Linked DNA regions of Arabidopsis thaliana. The protein of the gene in region 1 purifies or fractionates together with the protein of each later gene. This does not show direct contact. Each region holds a gene or a part of one and is shown in the gene's direction. Other genes may lie near its edges.

Region 1 (4,375 bases):
ATTGGAGTGGACTTAGTCATAGGACCGTGTCGTTATATCGTATCACATGTTTCACGCTGACTTTTTGGATCCCACTTTATTCTTTTAATAAATCTGCACGTTTTAATTTTGGTTCCTCTCTACTTTACATAATATTTTACTGCTTTTTTCATATCAATAAAAAATAGGAGAATTCTCAGAATTTATTACTATTATATTTGGGTTGTTTCGAAACTTTCGATAGATGGTTGTATACTTAGAAATATTCGCATGTGACGACCACATAGTGGATGCTTGCTTCTTTCGATCTCGACCATCAAAACGGAATCACCAGACTATATACAACAATTTTGGTAATCTAATACTAAAATTGTAGAAAACACAATTTTGTTTTGGGATTGCTAAATAAATACACTAGAGATGCTAGAGAGACCTAGCCTAAACTTTCGATATTTTCCGTTTTATCATTCAAGTAATTAATATAACATTTAGGTGTAAAGGTTAATAATATATATGACATTATATTCTTAGTGATCAAAAATCTAAACATAAACTTTTAGGAAAAAGACATATACTACTTTCCAAATTAATGTAACACGATCATGTCATATAGTAATGACCATGTTTGGATGAAAGTGGTAATTATGAGACGTGATTAAGTACTCTTGTTGAATCCTTCTTTTAAACCAATACTAAGAATAAGTTTGACATTATTGTCATATTATTTGTACTCGGACTTTCCGAGTAGTAGTGGAGCCTTATTAACTAATAATAATAATACGCATGACAGGAAAAAACTGAGAAGGTCATTTAGAAAGAACCATCGTCGAAGGATGGACGGTGGAAAAGTCGGTAGACGTCAGCACCAAGCCACCAACTAATTTGGTTTGTTTTAATGGAATCATGACGTCTTTCTTCTTTAAAACTCATGTCACCCATTTCTTCCTAAATTTGGACTATTATATGATTATGGGAATTGCATTTCTTTATTAAAGTCACGTGTCATCCTTTAACTTTATAAGTTCTTCAGGTTCCAAACTCCAAAGCCTTTCCAATTTTATCGTTCCACCAAATCCTGAAATGAAAGTTCAACATCCATCATGGTCCCAAAACGTTAAAAATATTTTAAAAAATAGAGTGTGGGGGATTTAAAAATTCATGACCGCTAGTAAAATATACAAATTTTCAACAAAACAAATTGCATGACCGCTTTGTTGGAGATATTATATTTACAGTTGCCTAACGTGAGAAGTTTGCATAACAAAACTAATCACAAACTCACAATATATACCATTCTTCTGTGCACCGGAAATCTATAACACTTAAAATCTTAAATGTGTAAACCCTAAAATTTTACCATACAATTTTTGAATTGAGAAAACAATTATTTGTTTTTGGTTTCTAGGATTAGTAAACAATCATTTATAGTAGCATCGGATTTTTCATGGACTATGAATCTTCTCAATAGACAGACTTAGGTCACGCTTTAACCAACAAAAACTCAGCAAGAGTGGTTTCTTTCTTCTATAACAAATGCCAAATATGCGTTTCAATATAACCATTTTCTATAACAGTTAATAATCAAAATTTTGTAACGTAGAAAATGGTCTTTATTAATACTGTCGTAGATTTGTAATAACTTATTGGGCTCTGTGGTCTCTTATTGGGCTTTATAAGATTCTCCAGTAGCCCAAAAATAAACTTTCAGCGAATCTCAAAGCCAACCGCAGGTGATGCGTTTTGCTATGTAAGAGAGACGAATCTCACGCCGGAATCTCTTTTACTTCACCGTCGTTTGTTCTCCGTCGCGTCACCTTTCGATTAATTCCTTCACAGGTAAGGAAGCTTCTTCAATTTTCCTCTTACATCAATTCTCCTTTCGCATTGATCCTTGTCGTTATCGTCTCTAAACGCAAGCTTTTTCTCCAATGTTTGTGTCGATCTTAAAGCACATAGATTGATAAAGCCGTTCCGGTTCTATTGAATAAAATTCTAACCCTAGATTAGCCAGGATTTAATCGGAATTTCTCTGGATCTAATAGTTTTGTCGAGTTTGATCATTGTGACTTAGGAACTCTAATTTTGCAATCGTAGAATTTGCGCATCTCCAGAACAATCCCTGCCAATGAGATGAAATTTCAAAATTCTGTTTCTGTAACTAACTTTGCATAAGAACTTGTTTCTATAGCTTAATCAGCTGTGTTATTTGGTGTATAGGGTAGCAAAATTTTGTTGATTTCGGGATGTCTTCAGCTCAAGATCCATTCTACATTGTTAAAGAAGAGATTCAGGATTCTGTAAGTTGTTCAGAAATTGCCAGAGATGTTTTTTTGTTTAGATTTTGAAGTACAGTGATTGATGGATGATGCTTTGTTAGATTGATAAGTTGCAATCTACATTCCACAAATGGGAGCGTATCTCTCCCGACATGGGTGATCAAGCACATGTGGCGAAGGAGCTTGTTGCTACTTGTGGAAGCATTGAGTGGCAGGTACTCGTATTTAGTCACGGTTCTATTAATCTCGTCTTTATATATAATTTAGCTGGTGTGGAATAGGATTTGTGTTTGTAAATGGATCTTGTAGGAATGTATTGGCCCTTATTTACATGATTAGAAATTCCAATTGAATATATTCGAGTCCTTTCATGGCTATTGAAGCTGTTTTTACTGATAGGAAGGTAGATGAGCTGGAAAAAGCGATTACTGTTGCAGCAAAAGATCCTTCATGGTATGGCATTGATGAAGCTGAGCTTGAAAAACGGAGGAGATGGACTAGTAATGCTAGGACACAGGTATGTTCTCTAAGTTTGTTATGAATACTGCTTTACATAGTGGCATAAATTTGTTGTTAGTTGACTTGTGCAAGACGATTACGATTTTTTTTATAGGTGCGGAATGTGAAGTCTGGTGTTTTAGCTGGAAAGGTTAGTTCTGGAGCAGGTCATGCAAGTGAAGTGCGTAGAGAACTAATGAGAATGCCAAACTCGGGTGAAGCAAGTAGATATGATCAGTATGGAGGGAGAGACGATGATGGTTTTGTACAGTCAGAATCAGATAGGCAAATGCTGTTGATAAAGTAAAGCTCTCTCTGTGTGTTCTACATTGTTTTGCAGTCTTTTCTTTGCTTCTGAGTTTATAACGATTTTAGACTGAAGATTGTAGCATAGTGTTGTTCAAAAACAGAGTAGTGCCATAACTTAACATCATTTTTTTCACTTCAGGCAACAAGACGAAGAATTGGATGAGCTTAGTAAAAGTGTACAGAGAATTGGAGGAGTGGGGCTCACTATACACGACGAACTCGTTGCACAGGTTAGTAATATGGGAAGATGATTTAACAGTAGGACGTATCAGTAGAGATCAGAAACATCAAGTTTTTGTTATTGTGTGTGTTCAGGAGAGAATAATAGATGAATTGGATACGGAGATGGACAGCACAAAGAACCGTCTTGAATTTGTTCAGGTAAACCCCTTAAAGGTCTTGTTGCTGGTTTGATTGCAGAAAGTAAAAACTGAAAGAATGAAAATGGTATTGTGACAGAAAAAAGTGGGAATGGTAATGAAGAAAGCTGGAGCAAAAGGTCAAATGATGATGATATGTTTCTTGCTCGTCTTGTTCATCATCCTATTCGTTCTTGTCTTCTTGACCTAAAGAACAGAGCCGCGGGATCTTATAGATGGGAGTTTAATGTCTTACATTATCATGTTTGTGGTGAAACAAATGGAATATTTACATAAGGTTGTCTGTTTTTTCTTCTCCTATCCAATCCCACATATAATTTTGAACTTTGGCTGTGTGATCTCTAGAGAACCTGAAATTAAATACTTTCATAGCTTGATCCCATGGCTAAGTTCCTTAAACAATACAAATCAGTCTCATCAAAAGTAAGCCGTCAAAAACTTCCCTATAGAATACACCTTTATTATGCCTTCTTTAAGTTTCCGCAATGTCTCCTTTGCTTCTTCAGTTCTGTAACGAAAAAAAAATTCCGAAAGCAGACTCCATAAGAAACATCTAAAGACAACAAAATGACTCCAAAAATAAAGAACCGGCAAAAATCTAACAATTTGTGGCAACAAACCCGGCTACTGCTCAAAAGACCACCCTTAATAGTTCATAATTGAAGGCAAATGCTTCAACTGATCGATCATCAACGAATCCAAAGGACTCACTCACTATAAGCATGATCTCCGGAAGAATCATTGCCGGATATAATTAGTTGAATAACTGATTTATTGTTGAATCTTTCTGATACTATCGTTAAACTCTTATGACAACGCTTTTTTTTTTTTTTTGTGTGCAAAATGACAACGCTTTAGATTGTAAAATGAATAATGAGTCATTGTATCATTAATAAGAAGAGATTTGGGCTGATAAGGCCCAACGTAAGCCCA
Region 2 (4,779 bases), on another chromosome or scaffold:
TTTGCGAGAGTTTCATATACAAAGACTTATGCTCTTAGAAGTTGTAAATGTGATCAAATATGGCTGATGATATTAAACCTTGTACAAACTCTCTCTTCTTTGCCTTCTCTAGTAGCTCTGTATCTGACAAGGGAGACGGCGATTCCCAGTCTCTGAGCACACAGAAATACGAAATGTATCTTTAGACAAGGTTTAAGAAGATGAGATAAAGCAAGCAGAATCAAGAAAATGTCAAAGAATTACTTACTTTTCTGTTGAATCCCTTATTAAGCTATTGTCTTCCATGCTTGCTTCACTAGATGAATCAGGTTGTACAAGCTTGGACTTCTTTGGTGACGGCGGATTGTATATAAATGATAATAATGGGTCCAGAACACTTTTAGATGTATGATTAGTAGACAACGGCTCATCGATTAGAGACTGTAAGTATTTCCTAGTCCCTGGAGAAAATGCTGAATATGACTCATCCTTGTAAAGTCTCTGCTTTTGTTCAAGGTAAGTATTCGTCAAGGAACACAAATGTCAGATAACCGATATAAAACATACCAAGATATAGAATAAGCACAAAAAGACTTACAAGTTTTCTACTAAATGGTAACGAAAGCAAGAAGAGTAAATAAAAAAGGATACCTTGAAGACATCTCTATGCTGAGTGGTAATGTGATCAACCATATGCATCTTCACTCGTCTGCTACAAACCGGACATATCTACATCACAACCAAAGCTGAATTTGTGAGAAGTTATTACATTCATCATCACCAAAAGACTGTTTTCATTTCTCACACCAAACACTTCACAACTACAAAATGGTTCCTCATAGCATCAAGCAAATAATCCAAGTGAACTAAAATCCAAGAAGTCCCTACCAACTCTCCTTACAGAATCACAATCCTGCCTACTAAAGTAACCATTAGAGTACAACAATGAACATCACACGATAAATAGTCTAAATTTACAACTAACTGCTTCATGTAAAAACTCAAATGTATAGTTTAAAGAACAGTAACTGATTTGGGAGATGGATACGAGTTGCAATTACCCCATTGTTGGCGTCTAGTTGATGCTCCTCATCGATATGGTGACACAATTCAACTAAATCATAATCATCTGAGCAAAACGGGCATGGATAATCCACTGCCATTTCATCATCATCTTCAAACTCAATACATGAACCTAAACAAAAATTTCACCATCACAAAACTTTTATCAATTACATAACATAAAGTTTACCCATAAAGTGACAAAATTTAAACTCACTAGACCTTAAGGGCCAAAAGAATTGAAATTTGATAAAGAAATTAAAACCACCTGCATATAAAGCATAAACCCTAAAACAAAGCTAAATGCAATTGGGAAAAAGAATGGATCTTTACACTAACCCGACTGATACTTGGCAAGTTCTTCTAATCGATATTTCTTCGACGAATCAAACCCACAAATGCCCAACAAATCTTCTTCCATTTTGATTCTGAATCCACACGAACTTGAATTGAAAAATCTCAGATAATAATTAAAGGAGCATATTCTTCCTCCGTGTATTTATTAGCATCTGTCAGTACTTTGTTCAGCCTGAAAGTGCGAGGAAACACACCAAAAAGGCAAGACCTTTAAATGTGGTCTTTTTCTCTGGCGACATGAGGGAATCCATGGACACGAATCTATTGAGCTAAATCCAATGACCAAACTACCCCTAACCGGTCACTATAGCCTCTTTTACCCTGAACCACCAACGTCCCTCTGTTGACTTTTAGCCGCCACGAATCTACGGGCATTTTCGTCTTTGCGCCACCGTCTTAAAACGTGTGCTCCACACACTTATATTGACCCTATCGCGCAAGTGGACTATAAGCCCAATATATAAATGGGCCTAAAAAGGCCCAAATACTTCTCCTTCGTTGCTAAGTCTGTAACACGCGCTAATGAGAAACGATTTTGCGATTCAGATTCGTTTGCTTTTGCCGACGACAAAAGCTCCGATTTTGTTTATTTTCTCCGGGAAATTTTACTTTCGAGATTCTGTTGAGAATCAATTGATTTGGTATTGATGGCGACGAGGAATCGAACGACGGTGTACCGGAAACACAGGGATGCGTGTAAGAGCGCGCGTGCTCCATTATCTTTATCGGCGTCTGATTCGTTCGGTGGTCCGGTGATCGAAATGGTTAGCGGTTCATTTTCCCGGTCCAATCACTCCTCTTATGCTCCTTTGAATTCCTATGATCCTGGTCCATCAAGGTAATAATATAATGTGTTGTTTGATTCTGCAAAACCTGGGAAATTCTATGAACTTATATATAGAAACGAATTGTAATCATGGGATTGATTTGAGATACAGAATTAGAACCCTAAACGAATTAGGTAACAGAATGAGCAAATGATTTAAGTGTTGTTGTGAATGTTTGCAGTAGTGATGCCTTCACAATTGGTATGCCACCAGCTTGGGTTGATGATTCTGAGGAGATAACTTTTAATATACAAAAGGTGCGAGACAAAATGAATGAACTAGCAAAGGCACATTCAAAGGCTCTTATGCCTACATTTGGAGATAACAAAGGGATTCATCGTGAAGTCGAGATGCTCACTCATGAGATCACAGATTTGTTGAGGAAGTCAGAAAAGAGATTGCAGATGTTATCTACTAGAGGGCCTTCTGAAGAATCAAATCTCAGGAAAAATGTGCAGGTAGGTTGTTGGACACTTTTTCAGAATCGAGCTTGTTAACAATAAAGAATGCATGGTCATTACCTTTTCTTTTGTGCTTTTAGAGAAGAAAGTTAGGAATTTTGGGTTAAATCACTCTCATATGTTTTGACTACCTATCTAGTTGACATTATCAGTCAGCAAAATGTATGAAGTGTTTTTTTTTCCCTCTATATAATGTACTTTGGGTTATTCTATGTTTTGAGTTTGTAGCATGAGGATAAAGTTCTGTGTACATGTATAGTGGGGCTCTCCAATGGACTTGACCTACTTTTTGGCATACTGCTTTTGACAGCGTTCTCTTGCAACAGATCTTCAGAACCTTTCCATGGAGCTCCGCAGAAAACAGTCTACTTACTTAAAACGTCTGCAGCAGCAGAAAGAGGTATGTTTCCTTTATTTTCAAGAAATAAACAAAAAAAGTGTTGATTCTTGAGACATGCATGTACCGTAATATGATGTTCTTATTTGTATTTGGCTTCTCTAATCATAGGGTCAGGATGAAGTAGATTTAGAGTTTAATGTGAATGGAAAGATGTCGAGACTGGATGAAGAGGATGAACTTGGTGGGATGGTAAGTGCTTACTTGTATTGTAAAACTATATATCATTGACAAATTAATAAGGACTTAATATGGTTATCTAGCTAGAGCAATTCAGATTTTTAATCAGTTATCCTTGTCTTCCTTACATTTTTAAGAAACACTTCTTATGGTTATCATGCTAGGACGAGTCAGATTTTTTTTAATCAATCTTCAGAACCTTGTCGTCCTTACTCTGCCAATACCATAATGAGAATCGCTGGTCTTCAATAAATTGTAGGGTTTCGATGAACACCAGACAATCAAGTTGAAGGAAGGGCAACATGTCTCAGCGGAAAGGGAACGAGAGATACAACAGGTAATGGAAGTTGTTACTCGACCATATTTAAGAAGCTGCGTGCTTCACATTTTCGATGGCGATTAACTTCAGAGTTCTGTCTAGGTTCTGGGTTCCGTGAATGACCTTGCACAGATAATGAAAGACTTATCAGCCCTTGTGATTGACCAGGTGCCTAGCTTAGTCATTAAAAGGCTTATGAATTACATAACTGGCTAGATACAAAGTTTTTGCTGGCTTCTCAACAATTAGTTTTCTTATATTCTTGTATCAATTAGGGCACGATTGTTGATCGGATAGACTACAATGTCCAAAACGTTTCTACATCGGTCGAGGAAGGCTATAAACAACTACAAAAGGTTTGATTCTTTACCCAAAACTCATAAGATTTTGTGAGTACTACAGATTTTTCACCGTATGGAACTCACAAAGACATTTCAATTTTTAAATAGGCGGAGAGAACACAAAGAGAAGGAGCAATGGTGAAATGTGCAACTATACTCCTTGTACTCTGTTTGATCATGATTGTTCTTTTAATTCTTAAGAATATTTTGTTTTAGTCATATGCCAACAATTTAGAATGAAAAACAGCTTGTCTTGTTTGTAACAAACAGTAACCCTCTCTTTTTTCTAGTTGAATTCTCTTTTCCAATCGTTTTACCAAATCTGTAGAAGTATTTTGTGTAAACCGTAAATGGTTAAAATCACTATAGTTAAGAAATAAACTGACACTAAACTACCTAGTGGGAAAATGTGATAATCACTACAAGAATCACTAGTCCTCCAAATTCAATAACACATGAAGGAAATCAAGTAATCAACTCATAATGAAAAATTGAAAATGATCTTTTTGTGCAAGGGAGAAAAAAATAAAACAAAAACGAATGCGTTGGCTTCACACACTTTAGATTAGCAAACCTAGACATATAAACTCATAGAGAAACTCGTGACAAGTTGTTTTGAGGCTCATGTTAAACAAAATTTTGTGACACTCGTGCAAGACGATGATCGTCCTCTTGAACTAGAACAATGAGCCGAGAGTACTCCTCTCAGTGCTATGCAAACACAAGCTCTTTGGGTAACTAGGGTTACCTCTTTTTGTTTTTTTATTGATTTTCTTAAAACAAAAGACTGAAGAACAAATACTCGATACAACTCTATTTATACTCAAAGACTCGATTCCTCCTTGGACCAGGATTC
Region 3 (4,394 bases), 800 kb from region 1:
CCGCTTCCCTGTCTTCGTCGGTCCCTTTTCGGTTTTCACGGTAAGGCTCGGAGGAAAACCTAATTCGTCCGGAGAATCTCCACCTCACTCTCGCCAAACGCATCTCTGTTGTAGGTAAGTCACGGATCTTCATTCTACGCTAATTGTTATTGTTATCGTTATTCTTGATCTGGGCGTTTTTGTGGAATTTGCATCTAAAATTAGAAATTTGGATACCAAAATCCACTCCAATTGAATAAGGTTTCTGAAGAATTTTCGTTTGATTTTGAGATCGAAAATTGCGTTTTCTCGTTTTTGTTTTGTTATCGCTAACGCATCAGGTCATATATCTCAAGTTTATATTTTGTGGCAGCTTGTGATGGATCCAACACAGAACACAAGTGCAGGGATTGGTGGGAGCAATGGTACAATCAGATATCAAACCAATGATGGGACTTCAACTGTGACCGTTGCTGATGATTCAAAGGAGAATCTTTCCCAAGTCATAAACTCTATTGAGAAAACTTTAGGAGTCCTTCATCAGTTACACCTTACCGTCACTTCTTTCACACCCGCGTCTCAACTCCATCTCCTCCAGCGCCTGTAAGTAACTCCTCTACTCATCTGTGTTTATTGTTTTGGGTATTGTAACTATTGTTTGAATGAATATGTGTGTGTGTGTGTATTTGCAGTAACTCTCTTGTGATGGAGCTAGATAACATGACTAAGTTGTCTGAGAAATGCAACATTCAAATCCCCATGGAGGTTCTTAAGTGAGAAAACAAGTCCTTTTTGTTTTTAGTATGCACTTTGAAGATAGATACTTTTACTTGCTTACTTATGTTTGCGTTTTCGTATAGCTTGATTGATGATGGGAAGAACCCGGATGAGTTTACGAAAGATGTTCTTAATAGCTGCATAGCTAGAAATCAAGTTACTAAGGGCAAGACTGATGCTTTTAAGGTGACTCCTTTTCTTCTGATTCTTAATTTGTGTATGATTCTTAAGGTTACTGAGTCTCTTAATCAACATTTTGTTATAAATAGGATTTGAGAAAACATATTCTGGAGGAGCTTGAACAGAATTTCCCTGATGAAGTCGATATGTATAGAGAAATCCGTGCTAGTTCTGCTGCTGTAAGTTGTTAACTTCGACTAGTATTGTACATCTTCATTAATATATTATAGTAAGTCAAGGGGATTAAACAGTTTTGGTCATATTCAGGAAGCGAAACGGTTGGCGCAATCGCAAAGTGTGTTACCAAATGGGGATGCAAAGGTCAAGAATGAGCTATAAGAGCCCAAAGGATCCTTTTTATGTTTACCTTGTACTCTTGTAGAATATAATGACTGAGTCGATGAATGTGATGTAACACGAACAATCCCAAGTGGAATTTCTAATAATATCTGTTGGTTCTCTTCACCTGGCTAATATAGTTTGAGAATCTCTGCTTGTTCCCCCCATTTTTACTCGAGTGGACTATCTTACTCTTAGCCTCTGAGATCTCTTTGATTTCATGAGACTATCAAAGAATCCCACATAGTTACGCAAAACAGATTCGACTTCTATCAATGGATTTGTCTATTTCCTGGACGAGTAATCTTGGTTCTGCATAAAATGTACACTATTTCCGAGAGCTGAAAAAGTGAGAAAAGACACTTAGATTTCAATCTTAATTAACGGTTTGATTCGGTTTGGTTTGTCTCACCTACATTTGCATCGATTGCAGCATGGGGGACTTAATACGCAGTGGCTGACACGTGTCAATATAAAACGCACCGCTTTGTTTGATTGTTCCTCCTTGTCCCCGAGCAGAGAAATACAAAGGAAGAAGAAGAAGAGTTGTTTGATTATCTTTAAGCAAAGAGGAAACTGTTTTGCTTCTAGATCCGATCCAATCCAATCAAACAAAGGATCCGATTGATCAGAAAAAATCCACCAAATTTCTCAAGATCGAAACATATAATTGAAGATGAGCGACGTATTTGAAGGGTACGAGCGTCAATACTGCGAGCTCTCAACCAATCTCTCTAGAAAATGTCACTCTGCATCGGTTCTCTCCAACGGAGGTAAAATCCAGACGCTCCCGATTTCGGATCTTGAACGCGAGATCTTCGAATTTACCTGATTTTAGAAATTCGAATCTTCGAATTTGGGGTTATTGGAGCTTTTGAGCTGTGACAAGTAGCTGGTGGACTAGTGTTCTTTACTAATCGTCCTGACTTGTTTAGGATCTGACGAAGTTTTGTAACATTTAGGAATGTTGAGACATAGGATCTGTTTCTCATTGCTTGGATTAGAAGACGATAACCTAGTTAGGTCTAGATAGTTATGTAGTTGCATAGATTTATTAACTTGTTTCTCAATCTATTTCATCTAATTTTGTCCGAATTTGGGGGTATTTGTAAAGTAGAGGTGCATGAGTGTTTACTAATCGTTTTAGCTTGTTTACGATCTGACGAGTTCTGTAGTATCTGGGAATGTAATTTACTTGGATTGGTCAAGTAGTTTTGTGAAGAAATTAAGACTGAAGATAAGATCATAAGAACCTAGTTATGTAGCTGCAGAGGTTTATTGAGTTGGTGTTTTTTTTCATTTGTTTGTCAGTCTATGGTTACCACTGTCTTTCTTGGAGTTATAGTACATAGACATGCATGGAGTTGTTACATTTTGTGGTGCCATAGAACCAGAGTAGAGGTTTGATTAGATATTGTTGTGTGCTTTTATAGAGGAGAAGAAGGGGAAGATTGCTGAGATCAAGTCTGGAATAGACGAAGCTGATGTCTTGGTATTTGCATTTAACTTGCTTTAATGTTGTTACCGTTCTGTTCTTTCTTTTTTAAAATTAATATATATGCTTCTGTGGTTTTTTTGTAGATCCGGAAAATGGATCTTGAGGCAAGAAGTTTGCAGCCGAGTGCTAAAGCTGTGTGTCTTTCTAAACTAAGAGAGTATAAATCTGATCTGAACCAATTGAAGAAGGAATTCAAACGAGTCTCTTCCGCAGATGCTAAGCCGTCTTCCCGTGAAGAGTTGATGGAATCCGGAATGGCGGATCTGCATGCAGTAAGCTTCTAACTCCTAAATAGAAACTCTTGTTTTCTCATTATCTTAGTTGTCTTAATTGACTTGCATCAGTTAGGCTTCTTTGTCCTGAGGGGACCCTCCTTTATATTCATCTTCACACAAACTTTTAGATGGCAAAGACTTTGCTGTGATTTACATTATTGTCCATGTTCCAGGTATCTGCTGATCAAAGAGGAAGATTGGCAATGTCCGTGGAGAGGCTTGACCAATCAAGTGACAGAATCAGGGAGAGTAGAAGACTAATGCTGGAGACAGAAGAGGTTGGCATCTCAATTGTCCAAGATTTGAGTCAGCAACGCCAAACCCTCCTTCATGCGCACAACAAGGTACCGTCTACAATTGCTCGGTTTGGTATCTATCAGTGCCAATGATTTGTTTGAATTAGATCATTGAGAAGCTAACTTTTCTGATTTTGAATCACAGCTTCATGGTGTGGATGACGCCATTGACAAGAGCAAGAAGGTGTTGACGGCTATGTCAAGGAGAATGACTAGGAACAAATGGATCATTACATCGGTAATCGTGGCTCTCGTTCTCGCCATCATCTTGATCATCTCATACAAGCTTTCTCATTAATATACTCAAAAAACATTATTCATCGTGATTGTGTATATATATATGATGGTTGATTTACTTTGTAATGGCCCAAGTGGTTACTTGTATTTTTAAGTACGATGTTTGTATTGAAGTGGCAACACTTTTAACATTCATAAGGTTTCCCAAGTCTTTTCTTTTTTGTCTTTTTTTCCAAAAAAGTGGTACTATTTTATATAAAGCAGATGTTTCAAAAGTTACAACTGTGGAAACTTCCACTTACATCTCAAGTCCAACCTTTGAAAACTTACAACAATGTAATTCCAAAAAGAACAAACACTCCATTGCTCAAAACATAAGGTTTTCCAAGTCTTTACATGAGCCAAAGATCTATACTTATAATGTTTTAAGAAAACTAGGACACCTGACACATCCTTGCCGGACCAATCATCTTGCCGTGATCACCAGTCGCAGGCAGGAGACCCACTGTCACGTCAGAGCATGAAACAAAGGCCTCTCCTTCTATCTCTCTATTTAAAATAACATCAAACATTCACGACACCAAAAAATACACACAAGCCAAACATAACAAGTAAAACTATCCCCGAAACAAATAGTTTTATGCAGTCCCGGCCCGTCCATAACGCAGCTAGAGCATGTGTTTCTGTCGTGAATTATGTTTTCTATGATCTCAGCCCCTGTTATGTTTTAAACCACACGTTCTGGTCTTCAAACTCGTTAACCCATTCCACCCTATAAATCCCTTCTTCGTAAGCAGGGATAGATTGACGAGT

Evidence for each region.
Region 2: the proteins of SYP61 (region 1) and SYP42 purify together in Arabidopsis thaliana (affinity purification with western blotting, with the first as the bait; one study listed by BioGRID). This does not show direct contact.
Region 3: the proteins of SYP61 (region 1) and VTI1B purify together in Arabidopsis thaliana (affinity purification with western blotting, with the first as the bait; one study listed by BioGRID). This does not show direct contact.

What each region holds. Positions count from the first base shown.
Region 1 is NC_003070.9:10,014,211-10,018,585, forward strand, and holds SYP61 (syntaxin of plants 61), read left to right. Parts: upstream 1-1,645; 5' UTR 1,646-1,815; intron 1,816-2,196; 5' UTR 2,197-2,222; coding exon 2,223-2,276; intron 2,277-2,356; coding exon 2,357-2,470; intron 2,471-2,540; exon of another isoform or gene 2,541-2,625; coding exon of another isoform or gene 2,626-2,658; coding exon 2,659-2,772; intron 2,773-2,868; coding exon 2,869-3,056; intron 3,057-3,201; coding exon 3,202-3,292; intron 3,293-3,377; coding exon 3,378-3,443; intron 3,444-3,521; coding exon 3,522-3,632; 3' UTR 3,633-3,837; downstream 3,838-4,375. UniProt on the Arabidopsis thaliana protein: Vesicle trafficking protein that functions in the secretory pathway; the fusion of phospholipid vesicles containing SYP61 and VTI12 is triggered by YKT61 and YKT62. Together with VTI12, required for membrane fusion.
Region 2 is NC_003075.7:969,459-974,237, reverse strand, and holds SYP42 (syntaxin of plants 42), read left to right. Parts: upstream 1-1,895; 5' UTR 1,896-2,045; coding exon 2,046-2,236; intron 2,237-2,406; coding exon 2,407-2,683; intron 2,684-2,996; coding exon 2,997-3,086; intron 3,087-3,194; coding exon 3,195-3,275; intron 3,276-3,522; coding exon 3,523-3,600; intron 3,601-3,684; coding exon 3,685-3,750; intron 3,751-3,857; coding exon 3,858-3,938; intron 3,939-4,031; coding exon 4,032-4,139; 3' UTR 4,140-4,244; downstream 4,245-4,779. Other genes in the region: AT4G02200 (Drought-responsive family protein), read right to left, coding at 35-152, 248-480, 631-708, 938-979, 1,041-1,174, 1,381-1,462. UniProt on the Arabidopsis thaliana protein: Contributes to the regulation of secretory and vacuolar transport pathways in the post-Golgi network, and to the maintenance of the Golgi apparatus and trans-Golgi network (TGN) morphologies.
Region 3 is NC_003070.9:9,214,152-9,218,545, forward strand, and holds VTI1B (Vesicle transport v-SNARE family protein), read left to right. Parts: upstream 1-1,618; 5' UTR 1,619-1,951; coding exon 1,952-2,048; intron 2,049-2,708; coding exon 2,709-2,767; intron 2,768-2,856; coding exon 2,857-3,045; intron 3,046-3,221; coding exon 3,222-3,392; intron 3,393-3,489; coding exon 3,490-3,642; 3' UTR 3,643-3,859; downstream 3,860-4,394. Other genes in the region: AT1G26665 (Mediator complex, subunit Med10), read left to right, coding at 359-582, 672-752, 840-942, 1,026-1,115, 1,204-1,275. UniProt on the Arabidopsis thaliana protein: Together with either SYP41 or SYP61, required for membrane fusion; the fusion of phospholipid vesicles containing SYP41 or SYP61 and VTI12 is triggered by YKT61 and YKT62.